Oryzias latipes: one gene and its partner. The protein of the gene in region 1 binds, or shares a complex with, the protein of each later gene. Links are inferred from orthologs where the notes say so. Each region holds a gene or a part of one and is shown on either strand. Other genes may lie near its edges.

Region 1 (7,825 bases):
TTCTAGAAAACAACGCAGATATGTTACTTTTGGCCTAAGAACAGCATGATCGTAATTAAAAGATCACTGGGAAGTTTTACAACAAATCAAAAGATGATCAGAGTTTAAATAAAGGAAGTTTTTGATAACTGTGGCAAAAACAAACTACAGCAACAGTTTTAACAGACTAGAAATAAAGACAGCACTGAAAAAAATCCAAAAGGGGTTAAAAAAACAGAGTTGGAGAAGAAATTCTAGAGGTTACCTCTGCAAAGGGGAAACTTTCTTTTCTAGTTTTTAAAACAAAATATTTTAAACTGAACTAATTAAAATTAGTTCTTCTCTAATTCTTCAAATACAAAAAAAATATTTATTAGTAAACCACTAAAATAAATTTAAAGAAAAAATGGATTTTATAAATGAATATTGTTTCTGGTACACGCATATGATTTTGATAAGATTTTTCCATTTTTTTAAATTTTAAGTTAAGATATTTAAACAGAAGGAAAATTACCTTGATAGTGTCCAGATCTCCAGCTTTAGCGGCTTCCAGGAGTCTGTAATCCACATCAGAGTTCCTCACAGGGACACTTTCTGCAGAGCCGCAAAAACAGGAATCAAACAATCAAGAAGAGGCTCAACTCAACCCTCAACAAAACTATACCTGGAAAGAAACTGTTCATTCGAAGTAAAATTACTTTCTAGTACACAGTTGACACCAGAGCAACTTTAGCAGCATTTTAGTGCTCTTGGTCTAAAAATGCTGGGAAAGAAACATTTCTGACATCCACGGGAGAAAAATTTGGCAGATTTTCTCCATGGCAACAACTTGCTGAAAATAATGAATCGCAGCCTTTTACAATGGCTACCAAAAATAATCAAAAACGAAAAACGGTTTATATATTTATATATTATATTTTTTTTCTCACTGGATCCAGACTGACAGCTGAAAAAAAACAAACTTTCGGTATGACCTTTATCTGTTTCCTGATTCTGGTCAACAAAAGGTGATTCTTCTTTCTGAAGCTTACAAAGCACATAGTGGAGCCACATTCATGCATCTGTTTCTTTATGACTTGACCTTAGGAGAAACACAATTTAACTGATGAAAAACAAATCTTTAGTCTGAGCATTACACAGCAATGAACTGTGATGTGGCGTCTCTTCTAAACTAAGGATTAGTTAACTCAGCCTCAAAACCTATTTACCCATCTGCAACATCACTGTGAATATATCAATATTGACCTTTACAAAACACTTCCAGTTAATCCCCCACCTCACTGCTGCTGCATAGCAACTAAACCTCTGGGCGCACTCGTGCACAGTTCATATGCACTCCGCACCCCACCTCCCACCATCATGAGGGACAGCGTACCATTGAGTATCTGCTGCACAGCTTCGTTTCCCATTTGAGCAGCCGTGAAGCCCTGCAGCGACACCAGAGAGGCGTCTGCCCCGTATCCTAGCAACAGCCTGCAGGTCTGAAGGTGGCCGGCCAATGCCGCGCGATGCAGAGCCGTCTGACCCAGCGTGTCCAGGGCGTTCACCTGCAAACACAAACATGTGCGATGTCTCGCATGGACTTTTCTGTCTTATTCAAATAAAATGTATTCTACATAAGTCGCATCTTTAAATGTTCACAGTTTTGTGGTGGTAGCGTCACATTATTGCACATCGTTGGTATTTAGAGCAAGAGTTTAACAATAAAAATCATTCGTAAATCACCTATTTTTAAAATACATTTTTTTATTTACTTTAATTTTTTACATAGATTTTGTGACAAACAAAACAAAAAACCTCGCACCTTTGCACCGTGTTTCTGTAGCACCTCCATGATGTCATTATGAGCCCGTTCAGCCGCCACATGCAGAGGAGTCATAAAACTGAAGAAAAGCAGAGAAAAATCAAAAAATTACTATTTGTTCCTAACATGCTCTTAAAAATTGTAGATAAATTAGGCAAAAAAGCTTACAAGAAGCTAAATAAGGGTTCAATTTTTTTTTTTTTACCAGTTTTTCAAATGTTTAATATGCTCCAAATTCCAGTAATTACTCATCATTAAAGTCATAATAGAATAGTTTGCTGCAACTTACACTACCATATGAGTCACCTCACATGTAACAATGATCACTGTCAAGTTTTACCATCTGCTTATCTGGAAAATAAGCTTCTTGCTGGATTTTTATTTTTTAGAATTTATGAACAAGAGTCACTCACTCCTTATTCTTCTCATTGACGTTGGCCCCTTTCCTCAGCAGCAGCTCTGTGACCTGTTTCCTCTTTGGGTGTGGCGATGCCACTGCACAGTGCTAATTACCATAAGCATAGAAAACCACATTAAAATCACATTCAATAATAGGAAAGTGAGGAGACTGAGTTCAAACACACCAGTGCAGTTTCATGTGTGTGAGGGTGTTTAAAGTTGATGATCTCCAGAGCCAGGGTCTTCTTGGCCTTAGCCATGTCAGCCTCCCGAGCAGCTTGGAGGAGCGAGTGGCCCTTAAATTCATCTGAAACAACAACAAAACCTTCAGATTTAAAAGAAGGAATAAACCGATAACAAAAAATATTGCTTCCATGAATAACAATGACAAATTTGACAAGCTAAGCCTTAAAATGTATAAATATTTACAAATGATTTCGGACCAAATTCAGTCTAACAAAAAAGAAAAACCTTTGGATCTGCTGTGGGCTCTGGATGTGCTGCCTTTTAAAATATTGTTTGAGTTTACTTTTACTCCTTTTAATTTTTTTTCTACGTTGTTTAAATGTTAAAGACCCATTAAGATGAAAACAGGGTTCTTGGTGTTTATAACATCCTCTTCTAGCATTTTTCTGATGATGGTAGGGATTAAGAAAATTAAGTTTGAATTGCATTTCTGAATATTTCTTTATGAATCGTTGTGAATTAGGAGCAGACAAAAAATGCTGTTGGAAAAAGCTTGTAGTGTAAAATGCGCTGGGTGGGCAAAAGCACCCTGCTCTGCTCCATTCTGCTCCAATCACTTGACAAACAGATTTATGTACATCTTTGTTCTCCTTGTCTGAGCTGGTATCGGGCTATAAACTGTCCGGCTGGATTGTTCTGATATTGCTCGCCATTTCTGATGCATCGGTAATGTTAGGTTGGAGGTATGAGGGGCTGTAAGCTAGCGGGAGATTGTGCAAATATATCGTAATTAAAGGACCACTGGGAACGCTTTTAAAATAGATGAAAGGATGATATGAGTGGGACTTTTATCAAACCTATAGGATTCGTCATGATCAAAACCGATTTCATCTGTTAAAATGTGTTTGTAGGGAGAAGCTGCCTTGTTTAAGGTAGAAACTCCACCTGATGGCACAGCTAAGCTAAAATTAAGCCTAAAGAGGACAACTGTAGAACCTGAAGCACAAAAACAAAATGGTTCAAAATTTAGTGAGTTTTATTTTTTTCTACAAAATTTTGACTCAGTTAACTTATGCAACACCTGTGGTGTGCCATATTTGAAAGTGTAATCTCTGTCTTTCCCTAACTTGTTTTTTTTTTTTTTTAAAACCTCTGGGTCTGCTAATGCAACGCTTGTGCAACAAATGCTGCAAAGCCTCCATTCAGCCTTCAGAGGAGAGAAATCTCCCAGTAATAGAGTTATAGAGAACTGATAACATCAAGGCTAATCAATACGGCAGTCCTTGATAATCTAGTCCTGAAAAGAGTTGATGAATCGTCACTTCTCTGGTCAGCCGGCCACCGTAGTTTTTTGCCTTTTTACAAAAAAAAAAAAAAGAAACTTCACTCGTAACCATACTTAAATACTTTATACGTTTTCTTTTTCTTTATTGACCATTTGAAACTTAGTAGGCCTAATGTAACAAAGTCAGCTCACTTCTAGATGTTTCTCCCGCAGCTAAAAATACAAACAAATGAACCCTGAACTGTTGTCATCCTAAATTTGTGGAGATAAATCTATGTGCAAGACTGAGATTACTAAATCTATCATATAATTTCCTTTTTTTATTTTCCAAAGACTTGAACTCTTGCAGAAAATTTGAGGATTTCTTGACGTGACTAAACTCTCACTTTCCAGATTCTCTCAATAAACGTGAAAGCCCGACTTTACACGATGAGACAGCTGCTCTTTAACCGCACTCCCGAAACCTCTGAGGACAGAAGGGGCCAGGAGCCAACGCAGAAAAACAACAACAAAAAAAACAGAAAAAATGGGAACACAGCTGTGCAAAGGATAAACTGATAAATAAAATCAAATCATAAAGTCATTTTTTGAGAGGGTATTTTCATCCTTCATGTGGATTTTTTAACTGCAACTAGATCTAGAAATAAAACGGCTTGATTTTAAGTAGCATTTATTCTAAACTTATTTTTCTTTATTTTTTCTTTCAAAGGTTCTGACCTGTTCAGAAATTACAGCATTTTTTTAAATGATTTATTCTATGAGAATAATCAGTTGATTTAATCGGGTTAGAATGTAGAAATAATAAATCATATGATGATGAAAAACTAGACTTTTTACAGTTTATTTGGTAAATTATTCTGAAAGAAATTATTGTAAAACTGTCTCCTAACTTAAAAAACAATTCTGTTTTCTTCATATGCAGAGTATTTCTTCTTGGTTCTGGAGCAGCTGCAGGGGATAAAAGTTATAGAAAAATAAGCAATAATTGGCTTTTGTTGCTGCTGCTCAACCTTTGATGCAGGTTGACCTGCAGGTTATCGGGGGTCAGCTGCAGGTGAACACAGACTCACATGTCAGCCTCTCCTTCAGCTCTGGAGTGGGGGCCATGTCCACTGAGCTTTTGCTATGGCAGTTAAGCAAGGTCGGGTCAGCGCCGTGGCTTAACAGCAAAGAGCAGACTTCCACGCGGTTTTTAGACGCCGCTTCATGCAGAGGAGTGAACTGCCACAGATCCATGGCATTCACACAAGCTCCATGCTGAGAAGGAGGAGGAAAATAAAATCAGAAGAAACGTACAATTTTAGCACAAAAAAAGGAAGAAATGTAGTAAAGAAATTACCCAGAAGTTTTTTTTTTAAATGAAATCGCAACTGAGCAGAGGAAATAGAAACCTTTAAAAAATTCAAGTCAAATTAGGAGGTCAATAATTAGTCAAATACTAATATTTGTGTCCAAAATAACAAGAAAATTGTATTTTGTCTGGACATTTCCTTGAAGAACAATGTAATAGTGTGTGTTTGTACCTTTAGAAGAAGTTCAGTAACTTCATAGTGTCCATAGGAACAAGCGTTATGAAGAGGTACCAGCCCACTGGAAGGAGGAAACACAAAGTTGTTTGTTCAGTAATACAACCCAAAACATGAAAAATACTATATTTACGTGTCTTATTAATTAAATGTGTTTAAATCAGTTCAACAAAGCAGCATGTCACACATTCTGCTTTAATGACAAAATTTGTCCCAAAAACAGAGCATAAAGTTTGGTTATACATCATCAGACATCGGATATGAAATCAATATAGACCGAAAAACTTAATATATATTGCATGCCAATAAAGTAAAGTGGGGCTGCAATTGATTATTTATTTTGTGCCATCTATTGGGTATTTTTATTATCAGTCAAGATTATGTTAGAATCTGATTTAATGATTTTTTCAGTTGTAAGTTTGTTATCATTGGAGTCTAAATACAGTATTTTTAATATTCCTTTACACTCTTTGAGCCACAGCATTTTTGCTTGTTAGTTTAAATAAACATAAAAGAACTTTTTTTTTACACCAAAATACATCTTTGGTGTAAAAGGTTTTTGCTCACCCTTCCAAATGATCAGAATCAGGTGTCCTAATCACTTGGCCACAGGTGTATTCACATTAAGCAGTCAGTCATGCAGACTGTTTTTACAAACATTTGTGAAATAATTTGCTCCGCTCTCAGGAGCTCAGTGAATTCCAGCATTGACCTGTCACTGGATGCCACCTGTGCAACAAATCCAGTTGTGAAATTGTCTTGCTCCTAAATATTCCACAGTCAACTGTCAGCTCTATCAGAACAAGATAAAATAGTTTGGGAACACCAGCAGCTCAGCCACGAAGTAGTATACCACGTAAACTGACAGAGGGATCAGCTGATGCTGAAGCACAGAGTGCAAAGAGGTCACCAACTTTCTGCATCGTCAACTGCTACAGAGCTCCAAACTTCATGTGACCTTCAGATTAGTCCAAGTACAGAATGCAGAGAGCTTCATGGAATGGGTTTCCATGACCGAGCAGCTGCATTCAAGCCACACATCACCAAGTACAATGTAAAGTGTTGGATGCAGTGGTGTAAAGCACACCGCCACTGGACTCTAGAGCAGTGGAGACGCGTCCTCTGGAGTGATGAATCACACTTTTCCATCTGGCAATCTATTGGATGAGTCTGGGTTTGGAGGTTGACAGGAGAACGGTGCATTTCTGACTGCATTGTGCCGAGGGTGAAATTTGGTGGAGGAGGAATTATATAGTGTGGGGTTGTTTTTCAGGATTTGGGCTTGGCCCCTATGTGAAAGGAACTCTAAATGCTTCAGGATACCAAAACATTATGAACAATTCCGTGCTACCAATCTTGTGGGAACAGTTTGGTGCGGGCCCCTTTGTCTTCCAACATGACTGTGCACCAAAGTGGATGACAGTCTGGGTGTGGATGAACTTGACTGTCCTGCACAGAGTCCTGACCTGAACCCGATAGAACACCTTTGGGATAAATTAGAGCAGAGACTCAGAACCAAGCCTCCATCATCAGTGTGTAACCTCACCAATGCGCTTTCGGAAGAATGGTCAAAAATTCCTATAAACACACTGCTCAACCTTTTATCATATTAAAAAAACTACAATGGCTTCTAATTTTTTAAAAGGGACCTCGCTGCAAACAAGATGTCGCCTGACATCATCAGCTGGAAGCGGATAATATACATCATCTCATCTTCCTCCGCTTATCCGGGACTGGGTTGCGGGGGCAACAGTCTAAGCAGAAATGCCCAGACTTCCCTCAACCCGGCCACTTCCTCCAGCTCCTCTGGGGGGACCCCCAGGCGTTCCCAGAGACATAGTCACGGATAATATACAATTTACGATAATCTTAATCCTAACCAAAACCTCAAAGTGTTCAGAATTGTAAAAGAACTTTTAATGAAGCTTAAACGAAAAAATGAACTGTAACTGTTAGGGTCACCAGTTCAAATATTGATATTGGTGGACTTCCGGTTCCGAAGGAGGGCTTCTGCCACTGGATGCTGATGTCTACAGCCAGGTGCACTTGAATTTTTCTTGCTGATAAATCAATCATAGTTCAGTCCATTTTGAAGCAGCTCCAGCTTTAGTATGCCACCAAATGTCCCTGTTTTTCTTTATTGTTTTTAAATGTAGTAAAAAACTTTGGTATCTATTTGAGTCGCTTTACAGAAAAAACCTAAGCCCCCCCAGGTACTTTATTTAGTAAAAGTGTAAAGATTATTTGATGAATCAATTCATCTAACCAGATCAATGTGTCTGAGGCAAGTTATCAAGTAAAATTGTTTTAACCCTTGTATTATCCTCAAATACTACTCACACATTTCACCCTTGGGGTTAAATTGATCCCAAGGATAATAGGAGGGTTAAAAAAGGAAATAAATGGAATATAATTGACCTAGGAAAATACCATCTGGATTAGGACATGGTAGATTTTACAGATCAAATTGGATTGTTAAAAATCGACTGAATTGTAAACAGCAACTACAAATTATGAATCGAATTGTTAAAATGGATTGTAACACCCCTATTATTTATCCACAAACAACTAAGCTTTCAAAGAAATGCTTTATTTTATAGAAACACTTGTTTTACTTTACTCTTCTTTTAACATCTTAATCGATTT
Region 2 (7,825 bases), on another chromosome or scaffold:
CCAAGTTGTGTTTTACTGTAACTTCAGAAGCTCCAGACACGTGTGCAAAAGCGCCATTCTCATTGGTCGAGTAGATTTAGAGGCGACGCGTCAAACCAAAAAAACGAACCCGAGGCGTTTTTTAAAAAGTGACGCTTTGACGCGTGGCGTTTTTTCGCGTCGGTGTGCACACTCACATTGGTGCCCTTTGTCTAGTCACGAGGCGTTAAACGTCGGCGAAAATGGCGGGCGAAATTCGTCCCGGTGTGAACGGGCCTTTAGTGCGGGCGCTGCAGCAACAGATTCTGAACCGCGTACTTCACTGAAATCCTGCAGATTTCTGCACGCCACCGCCATGCCGCCATCTTTGTCTGAAAACCGCAACCTCACAGTGTTGTAAATGTATTTTCTGCCAGTCCTTTCACCATCGTCACCGTTTCCCCCCCAACAGCACAGCTGAGCAGGACTCTGCTCCCCCCCAGGACAGCTCCGGCCCGGCTGCGGCCCCTGCTGCTGCCCCTGGCCCGGCTCAGCAGCAGAGGGTCTCCGTTCATAAGCCTTTCACCCAGTCCCGACTACCTCCAGACCTGCCCATGCACCCCGCCCCCCGCCACATCACAGAGGAGGAGCTGCGGGTGCTGGAGGGGTGTCTGCACCGCTGGAGGAGCGAGGTGGAAAACGACACCAGAGGTGGGTCCCACAGGACAAGATGGAGCCTGAAGTCTGGTCTTGTTGTTCTTGACACTGTGCCCCCCCCCCCCCCCCCCCCCCCCCAGATCTGCAGGGCAGCATCAGCAGAATCCACAGAACCATTGAGCTGATGTACTCGGACAAATCCATGATGCAGGTGAGCGGCTGACATCCAAACACTCAAACCGCTGCAGGACTTCTTTAATGTTCCGCTGCTTTGTCAGGTTCCATACCGACTTCATGCGGTTCTGGTCCACGAGGGCCAGGCCAATGCGGGCCACTACTGGGCTTACATCTACGACCCCCACCAGCACTGCTGGATGAAGTACAATGACATTTCAGTCACCAAGTCGTCGTGGGAGGAGTTGGTCAGGGACTCGTTTGGGGGCTACCGCAACGCCAGCGCCTATTGTCTGATGTACATCAATGACAAGAAACCCTTCCTCACTGAAGGTACAGATCCAGTGGGGGGCGGGGGCGCTCTGTGTGTCAGAGCCTCAGACTTCAGCTGTTAAAGAAGGTTGAGTTTAGTTTGAGGTGTCGTTAAAGGAGGCTTTTCCTTTTCTGGCCTTCAGTTCCTGTTCTCAAGTCCTCTGTTAACACAGGAGTTCTGTTCAGTACAGCACAACCAGAATCTGATCCCCTCTTGGTTTCCAGGGACATTTATCTTTTTTTTGGTGAGGGGGGGGGTTTCATTTATGAGCCCGAAACCTTTTTTTTTGCATCTTATTGGTTGAATGCTATAAATCCTTCAACCCATTGTTTGTTTTTCTTTCTTTTAGTATATTTTGCCATTTTTTGCCGTTTAAGTCCTTCTACAAATTTTCAGCTATTTTAACCATTCAACTATTCAAATGTTCAGCTCTTTCAGCTTTTTGCAGCTATGAGTTTTGGTCCTTCAAATCCTTGAACTTTTCAAGATATTCCAGGATTATGTGGATTATATGTCCTTTTCAATATTCCTGGTTGGTGGTGTTATGGCATGAGACATGCACTTTGGTGCACGACTTCACCAATTTGATATCTGGAGCTTGCATTTTTCCACAAACATATCTTTTTTATTATTGTGCTGTTTTCCCTCTATTAATGGTAAACTTTGAGCATCTCCATCTTTCTTGTTTTTTTTTTCTGCCACATATTACCCTTTAAGTTTAATTTTCATTCACCAATATAGCATTCAACCCTGCATTTTCTTCTGGAAATGCACCTCCTTCTAGTTTTTAAAATATCACCCTGTACCCTGTATAACCAAAATGCAATGACAAACCTCAGTTTTCATGTAAGGGTTAATGACAGACTAGTTGTGTTTTATCAGAAGAAGCCTGAACCGTCTTTTTGAGGGATAATGCACACTTCAAAGGCCATTAACCTGCTCATACCATGCTCACTGACAAAAAAAACAATATTTAATCATTTTTTAGGACTTTATTCTTGTCATTTTTCTCAGTTTGGATCGCTCAATCTATTTGTTTCATGGTGCGTTACGTTGTCACGGTAACGTGGCACCGCTCCGCTTTGCCGGCTGGGCCAGCACGGATCTTGGATCACCTCTTAACGCTTCTTTTTTTCCAGATGATGAAGCTAAAGGTTGTTTTAAAGAAGCCAGAGCAGCGATACAGAACAGTTGAGCTATGTGACCGGAACTTCTTTTTTAGGTGTCCATTATGTAAGGGTTAATGGCCGACGAAGTGTGCATTATCACTTTTTAACGCACGCCGTGAAAGCCTTCGCGTCGGACGGTTGCTTCAGCAAAGTGCGTTAAAAAGTGATAATGCACACTTCGAAGGTCATTAACCCGCTTATACCACGTTTACTTACAAAAGCAATACATAGGTACCAGTTTTAAGTCTCTGCCCAACCGTTAAGCTGACTTACTGTGGCGGCCCCTAACGGTGGAGGCTGAAAGGCGGAGGAAAATCGTTTTCTTGACTTCATTCTTAATGCTCTCACTATGATCTATGAACCAAAATCGCTTCTTTTCTTAAAATCCTACATTGTGTTTTGCCGGATTCTCTTTATTTATTTATTTTTTTACAAACTGTCTTTCACAGTTGAAGCATCAGTGACTGATGGATGCTTTTTGGTTCCATTTTTCCATATTGGATATAGTCGGACGGCTGAACAGGGCGGTCCCTCACTTCTCCCTCCTTTGTCCTTCTCTTGCAGAGGAGTTTGATAAAGAAACCGGTCAGATCCTGAGCGGCATGGACAAACTGCTTCCAGACCTGAAGCAGTACGTGAAGGAGGACAACGAGCTGTTTGACAAGGAGATTGAGGAGTGGGATGCCCTGCAGGCTCACAAGGCCCAGCAGGAGAAGCTGGCGCTTGCCGCCGCAGCAGCAGCTGCTGCAGCTGCTGCATCATCCAGCACCTCCACCTCTTCTCCATCCCCACAGCCCATGAGCATCGAGTCCAGCCCCCCCGACAATGCAGGTTAGTGACAGAAGACTCAGCAGAAAAACCAAACTGAGCATGAATCAGCATTTCAGCTCTGCTCTCTGTATTTTTAGAAGTCTTATAGCTGGAGGGTTGATGCCCCATCACATTCTGAGAAGGAGACTGTTAATGTATGATCTGTTTCCACTGTCTGTCTTGAAAAAGTGATGGTTAAAGCATAAAAAATGCTCTGTGATGCTTTGGGATGCTGGATAACATCAGTTTTAGGACACACTTGTCTGATGGAGGCTTTGCTCCCCTGCAGCCCCCCAGCAGGACCCAGAGTACATGGAGCAACCGTCTCCAACCAATGACTCCAAGCACCTGCAGGAGGACACTGAGAGGGCCATCTCCAGGGCTGCTGCTGAGCAGGGGGAGAGGGGGCCAGAAGCCCTGTTAAATGCTGTATGTACCATGCAGACACAGCACCGCCACCCATCAGCTGGAAATGACTCACTTTACCCCCATGATCACTGTCCTACTGTTTATGAGCAGCTTTCAGCTTTATATGAACATGAACACCACACAGTAGTCCTGACTAAACAGGTCAAAATAGAAAAAGCAAAGAAAGTTTTCCTGCAGCAACTTTCCTGATCCACAGTCTGTTCCAAGCAGAGCAGGCGTTTCTGCACAGACTGTGTGCAGAAAGACCTACTGAGCTGCAGGAGCTCCAACGTCTAGTGTGTAAAAAGAGTAATCGTTCTGCAGCCAAAGTTATTATGATTTATACCATGGTCTGGGTGAATACTCTGTTCTGATTGGCTGCTGGGTGTACGTTAAAAAGTGATATACCACAGTGATAACCGCACGGTGAAAGAAAAAGTTCCGGCCACCTAGCTTAAATGTTTTGTATTACTGCGCCGGCTTCTTTAAAACAACCTTTAGCTTCATCATTTGGACAAAAACAAGCGGTAAGAGGTGAACTTTCTCTCTGAACTGATGCTTTATTCAACCCATCGGAGAGATCAGCACATATATATCGCTTTATATCGCCGAATCTTGACTGCAGCGGTGGTGCGGCGCGATGTGGATGCCGCACCACGTAACAAATAGTCAGCTTTTTGTGAGAAAAATGATCCAAATCGGGGGAAAAAAAAGAATTAAGGACTAAAAACTGGTTTATATTTATTGCTTTTGTAAGTGACCATGGTATAAGCGGGTTAATGGCCTTCAAAGTGTGCATTATCACTTTTTAACGCACTTCGAGGAAGCAACCGGAGGGCGCTTCAAGCTTCCACGGCGTGCGTGAAAAAGTGATAATGCACACTTGGTCGGCCATTAACCCTTAATCCTCGGAGATGCTGCCAGCAACACTTAAAAAAAAACAATGCTCTGACATATAACCTATCGTTCACATCAACATCGTGAGTCATATGTAGAATGTAAACACTGGAGCTAAAGCTCTGATGTTAAAGTGATGAAAAAATATCAGCAAACTGAAACATCAGAAAGTAGATCTGTGACCTCTGGACACACAGACGGTTTCCAGTCTTTCTTTTACTTTGAAGCATAAATTTCAGCTGATGAAAATCCAAAGCGTTGTCAAAAAAGCTGGAATCCTGTGAGAAGGTAGACCTGGGGGCCTTGGGGGGGGTGGTCGGTCTGACGCGACCCTGAAAGCAACAGAAGCAGGACATGGAGATGCCCTTCAGCCCCTCCCTGTTGGCTCTAGTTCTAATCCTTCCAGTCACGCTGCTGTTTCCTCTGTCGCCCTTTTTCCACAGTCGCCCCCCCATCCCTCTTTTCTTCAGCCAGAGACCCAGATGAGCGCCCCCCCCAGCCCTCCCTGTGAGCAGCAGCTTGCAGAGGAGGAGTCCCTAGGCCAGCGCACAGTAGAGGTGGCCATTCCCAACGTGGGGACGTTTGTCATTGAGTCAGAGGAGGGGGGGTACGATGACCAGGTGTGAACCACAGGGGAGTGGATCTGCTGCTGTGTGCTGACCTCAGCCTGAGGATGTCATTCACAGACACTAACACCCCCACTCCCCCACCCCTGCGTTTTCTGAAGTTGCTCTGCATCTGGGGGCGCTCGGCTTTTTGACAGACCTGTTGTGTTGGGGCTCTGAAGCTTCATTGGGGTCATTGCTGTGTACAGACCCCCCCTGCCGCTCTAACAGTGCATGGACGGCTGGTGTCTGCATGCTCTAACAGCACAGATCGCCGTGACGACCTGTTGTTGTGTTTAACGCGGCTCCTTCTTCCTGGTTAGACGATGATGACCCCCAACATGCAGGGCATCATTATGGCCATTGGCAAATCCAGCAGCATTTATGAAAAGAGCGGTCCTGAGGCAGCCTTCTTCAAGGTACTCCCTCTCTCCTTTCTGCCCCCCCATTCCACTGTCATTCTGCTGTGTTTGCTCATGTCTGACGCTGTTCCTCGGTGACGTAGACGCTGAGTGAAGCTCTGCCATCGCTCAGAAAAACACCCAACTCCTTTTGCTATCTAGCTTGATCCACCCGTCTGCAGTTACACTTCGGGTGGGACTGAACTTTCACATTCCACCAGAAATGACCGAAAGTCACACAAAAGTGTCGACTCGGATGAGCTGCAGAAGTCCAGACTGTGAGCCTGATCTACACTGGTCCCACTGCAGTGTGTCTCCATAAAGTGAAACGTTCATGAATCAATCAGAAGGTTTACATTACAAACATACTCCGTCATGTTTGCGTCTGACGCTCATCCTTCTGCAATGAAAGCTTCCCATAGCAGCCATTTCCAGTCCATTAACGCGTCAATTTTGTGGTTAAAAAGCCAGAAAAACATTTGTTGTACTTCAAAAATATATACCATTTTATTTTAGAGTTAAGGTGGCGTCCCAACGGTGACACCATAAATGACACCAGCATCCTTTTTGCCATGGACGCTGAAAGTTTAATATAGGTCGTTCATGACAAAAAACAGACTTTTTACAAGGACTCAGTGAGGAGAGGGTATGGGGGCTAAACCCACCCCTCCTCTGGAAACCGGGGGGGGGGCTGGAGACGCAATGAAGTAAAGTAACTGACGGTGGTGAGACGGACTCCCAACGTAATGCAAGAGCGAGACGCCGCAGACAGATCAGCGTGAATCCAGCGTTAGTCCTTCCAGAGGTTTGAGACTCCGCCCCACCTCAGAGCCTTAACCCCTTCCTCTTCTCTGTCTCTGTCAGGCCATAAAGTTGGAATACGCGCGACTTGTGAGGTTTGCCCAAGAAGGCCCGACTCCTGAGAACGACTACCGACTACAGCACATTATCGTCTACTTCATCCAGAACCAGGCCCCAAAGAAAATCCTGGAGAGGACTCTGCTCACTCAGTTTGCTGACAGAAACTTGGCCTTTGATGAGAGGTGAGTCAGAAGTTTCACCCACGCCAAGAACTAGAACATCTCATAAAATCCCTCTGCTTCTCCCTTCATCAAAAAAGGTATCAGATCAAGATAGTTTATTCTGACCAATAGAATGACTGACTGAATAACTGCTGTTTACTTCTCTGTGGAAGTCTACAGCATTTCAGCTTTTTGGGGACCCTCTGGTACTTCCTTTTCTGAACACCAGGGGGAGGGGTCACTCAGTCCAGTTCTATTTTACAGTCAATGGTACATTTATGAAGAACACCGACTTCACTGAAGCGCCTGTTTAAACATGTTTGCATCACAAACTGCTGTTTTGAAAACAAGTCTTGGACTCCAGCAAAGTTCTTCTTATTTAATGAGTTGATCTTTAAAACCTATGAGCTTCAGACGGCAGAAATGTCTGTTTCACACATTAGTGTCAAACAGTGGTTGTCCTCACAAATGACCAGCAGAGGGAAGCAGAGTGTCCACAGCAGCAGCTTCTGACAGTCTATAACAGGGGTCGGGAACCTTTTTGGCCAAGAGAGCCATAAACGCCACATATTTTTAAATGTAATTTCGAAAGAGCCATACAATAATGTAGTGTCCTTTTCCCACACTGAGACTTAACCTCTTTTAAGGTTCTTTATTCTGGTTAATGCAGGCTGTAACAAATGCCGTAAATTAATTCAGCAGCTCCTGAATCTCTCCCGCCGAGACGAGAGCGCTTCTCCCAACTTTATATTCCCCTGCTCCCGCTCCAGCCCTCCCATTTCCCTTATTCGGCCCATAGCTGAACCCCATTGGTCCAAATTAACTAACAACAGGCTGAGCGACAGAACTGAGAGCCAATCAGATCTCTGCTTGATGCGTTCAAGGAACTCCAGAACTTTTAACGCGGCCCAACAGCCAAGTTAAACTCAGTCCGCGACAATATGTTTAAAGCTAAATATACAAATGAATGTGTGCATTTGATATAATTTCAACACTTTTAAAGGACAATAAGTCTGTGGATTATTTTTAATAACGTTGTTATTCTGTTGCTAATAAATGATCAGTATTTCTCGTGGTAGTTTTGCTGATGGTCTAGTCTGGTTGATCCGTGGTGAGTTTCTGCTTCATGCAGGCGTTGAGACTTTAAACGTGATCGTAGGTCTGAATGTTCTGTAAATGTGAGACAGACTGCTCACATGCAGACGGGGAGTCAAACACACACTCACACACTGCAGTGAGTGACGGGCAGCAGGTTTTACGTTTTTACAATCCCTGCGCGATTCACCTTACTGACCGAGCCCACAACTCCACCCCCACCCTCTGCTTTCTCCCTCTCACATCCCGTCCCCGCTACTGCGCGCTCTTTCTCAGAGACGGGGGCGCGCAGTTTTAGGCACGGCAATTCACAGGT

Evidence for each region. Proteins that work in one complex are often made in the same cells at the same time.
Region 2: the proteins of tankyrase-1 (region 1) and usp25 are in contact, whole or in part, in a crystal structure (PDB 5GP7), measured with the Homo sapiens proteins. The link is inferred for Oryzias latipes from reciprocal best matches to the Homo sapiens genes TNKS and USP25. Residues at the interface, in NP_003738.2 of Homo sapiens: Arg836, Ser838, His842, Leu843, Gly846, Tyr847, Leu871, Asn876, Ser879, Tyr880, His882, Asp900, Trp902, Phe904, Glu909, Gln912, Lys913, Gln934, Glu935; in NP_037528.3 of Homo sapiens: Ser1046, Ser1048, Arg1049, Thr1050, Pro1051, Ala1052, Asp1053, Gly1054, Arg1055.

Annotation. Positions count from the first base shown.
Region 1 is NC_019870.2:18,234,222-18,242,046, reverse strand, and holds part of tankyrase-1, read right to left. Parts: intron 5,244-7,825; coding exon 5,177-5,243; intron 4,911-5,176; coding exon 4,724-4,910; intron 2,490-4,723; coding exon 2,368-2,489; intron 2,289-2,367; coding exon 2,197-2,288; intron 1,863-2,196; coding exon 1,784-1,862; intron 1,527-1,783; coding exon 1,355-1,526; intron 574-1,354; coding exon 494-573; intron 1-493.
Region 2 is NC_019872.2:2,552,984-2,560,808, reverse strand, and holds part of usp25 (ubiquitin carboxyl-terminal hydrolase 25), read left to right. Parts: intron 1-430; coding exon 431-669; intron 670-755; coding exon 756-826; intron 827-893; coding exon 894-1,122; intron 1,123-2,835; coding exon 2,836-3,102; intron 3,103-3,370; coding exon 3,371-3,510; intron 3,511-4,829; coding exon 4,830-5,006; intron 5,007-5,314; coding exon 5,315-5,410; intron 5,411-6,256; coding exon 6,257-6,435; intron 6,436-7,825. UniProt on the Homo sapiens protein: Deubiquitinating enzyme that hydrolyzes ubiquitin moieties conjugated to substrates and thus, functions in various biological processes including inflammation and immune response.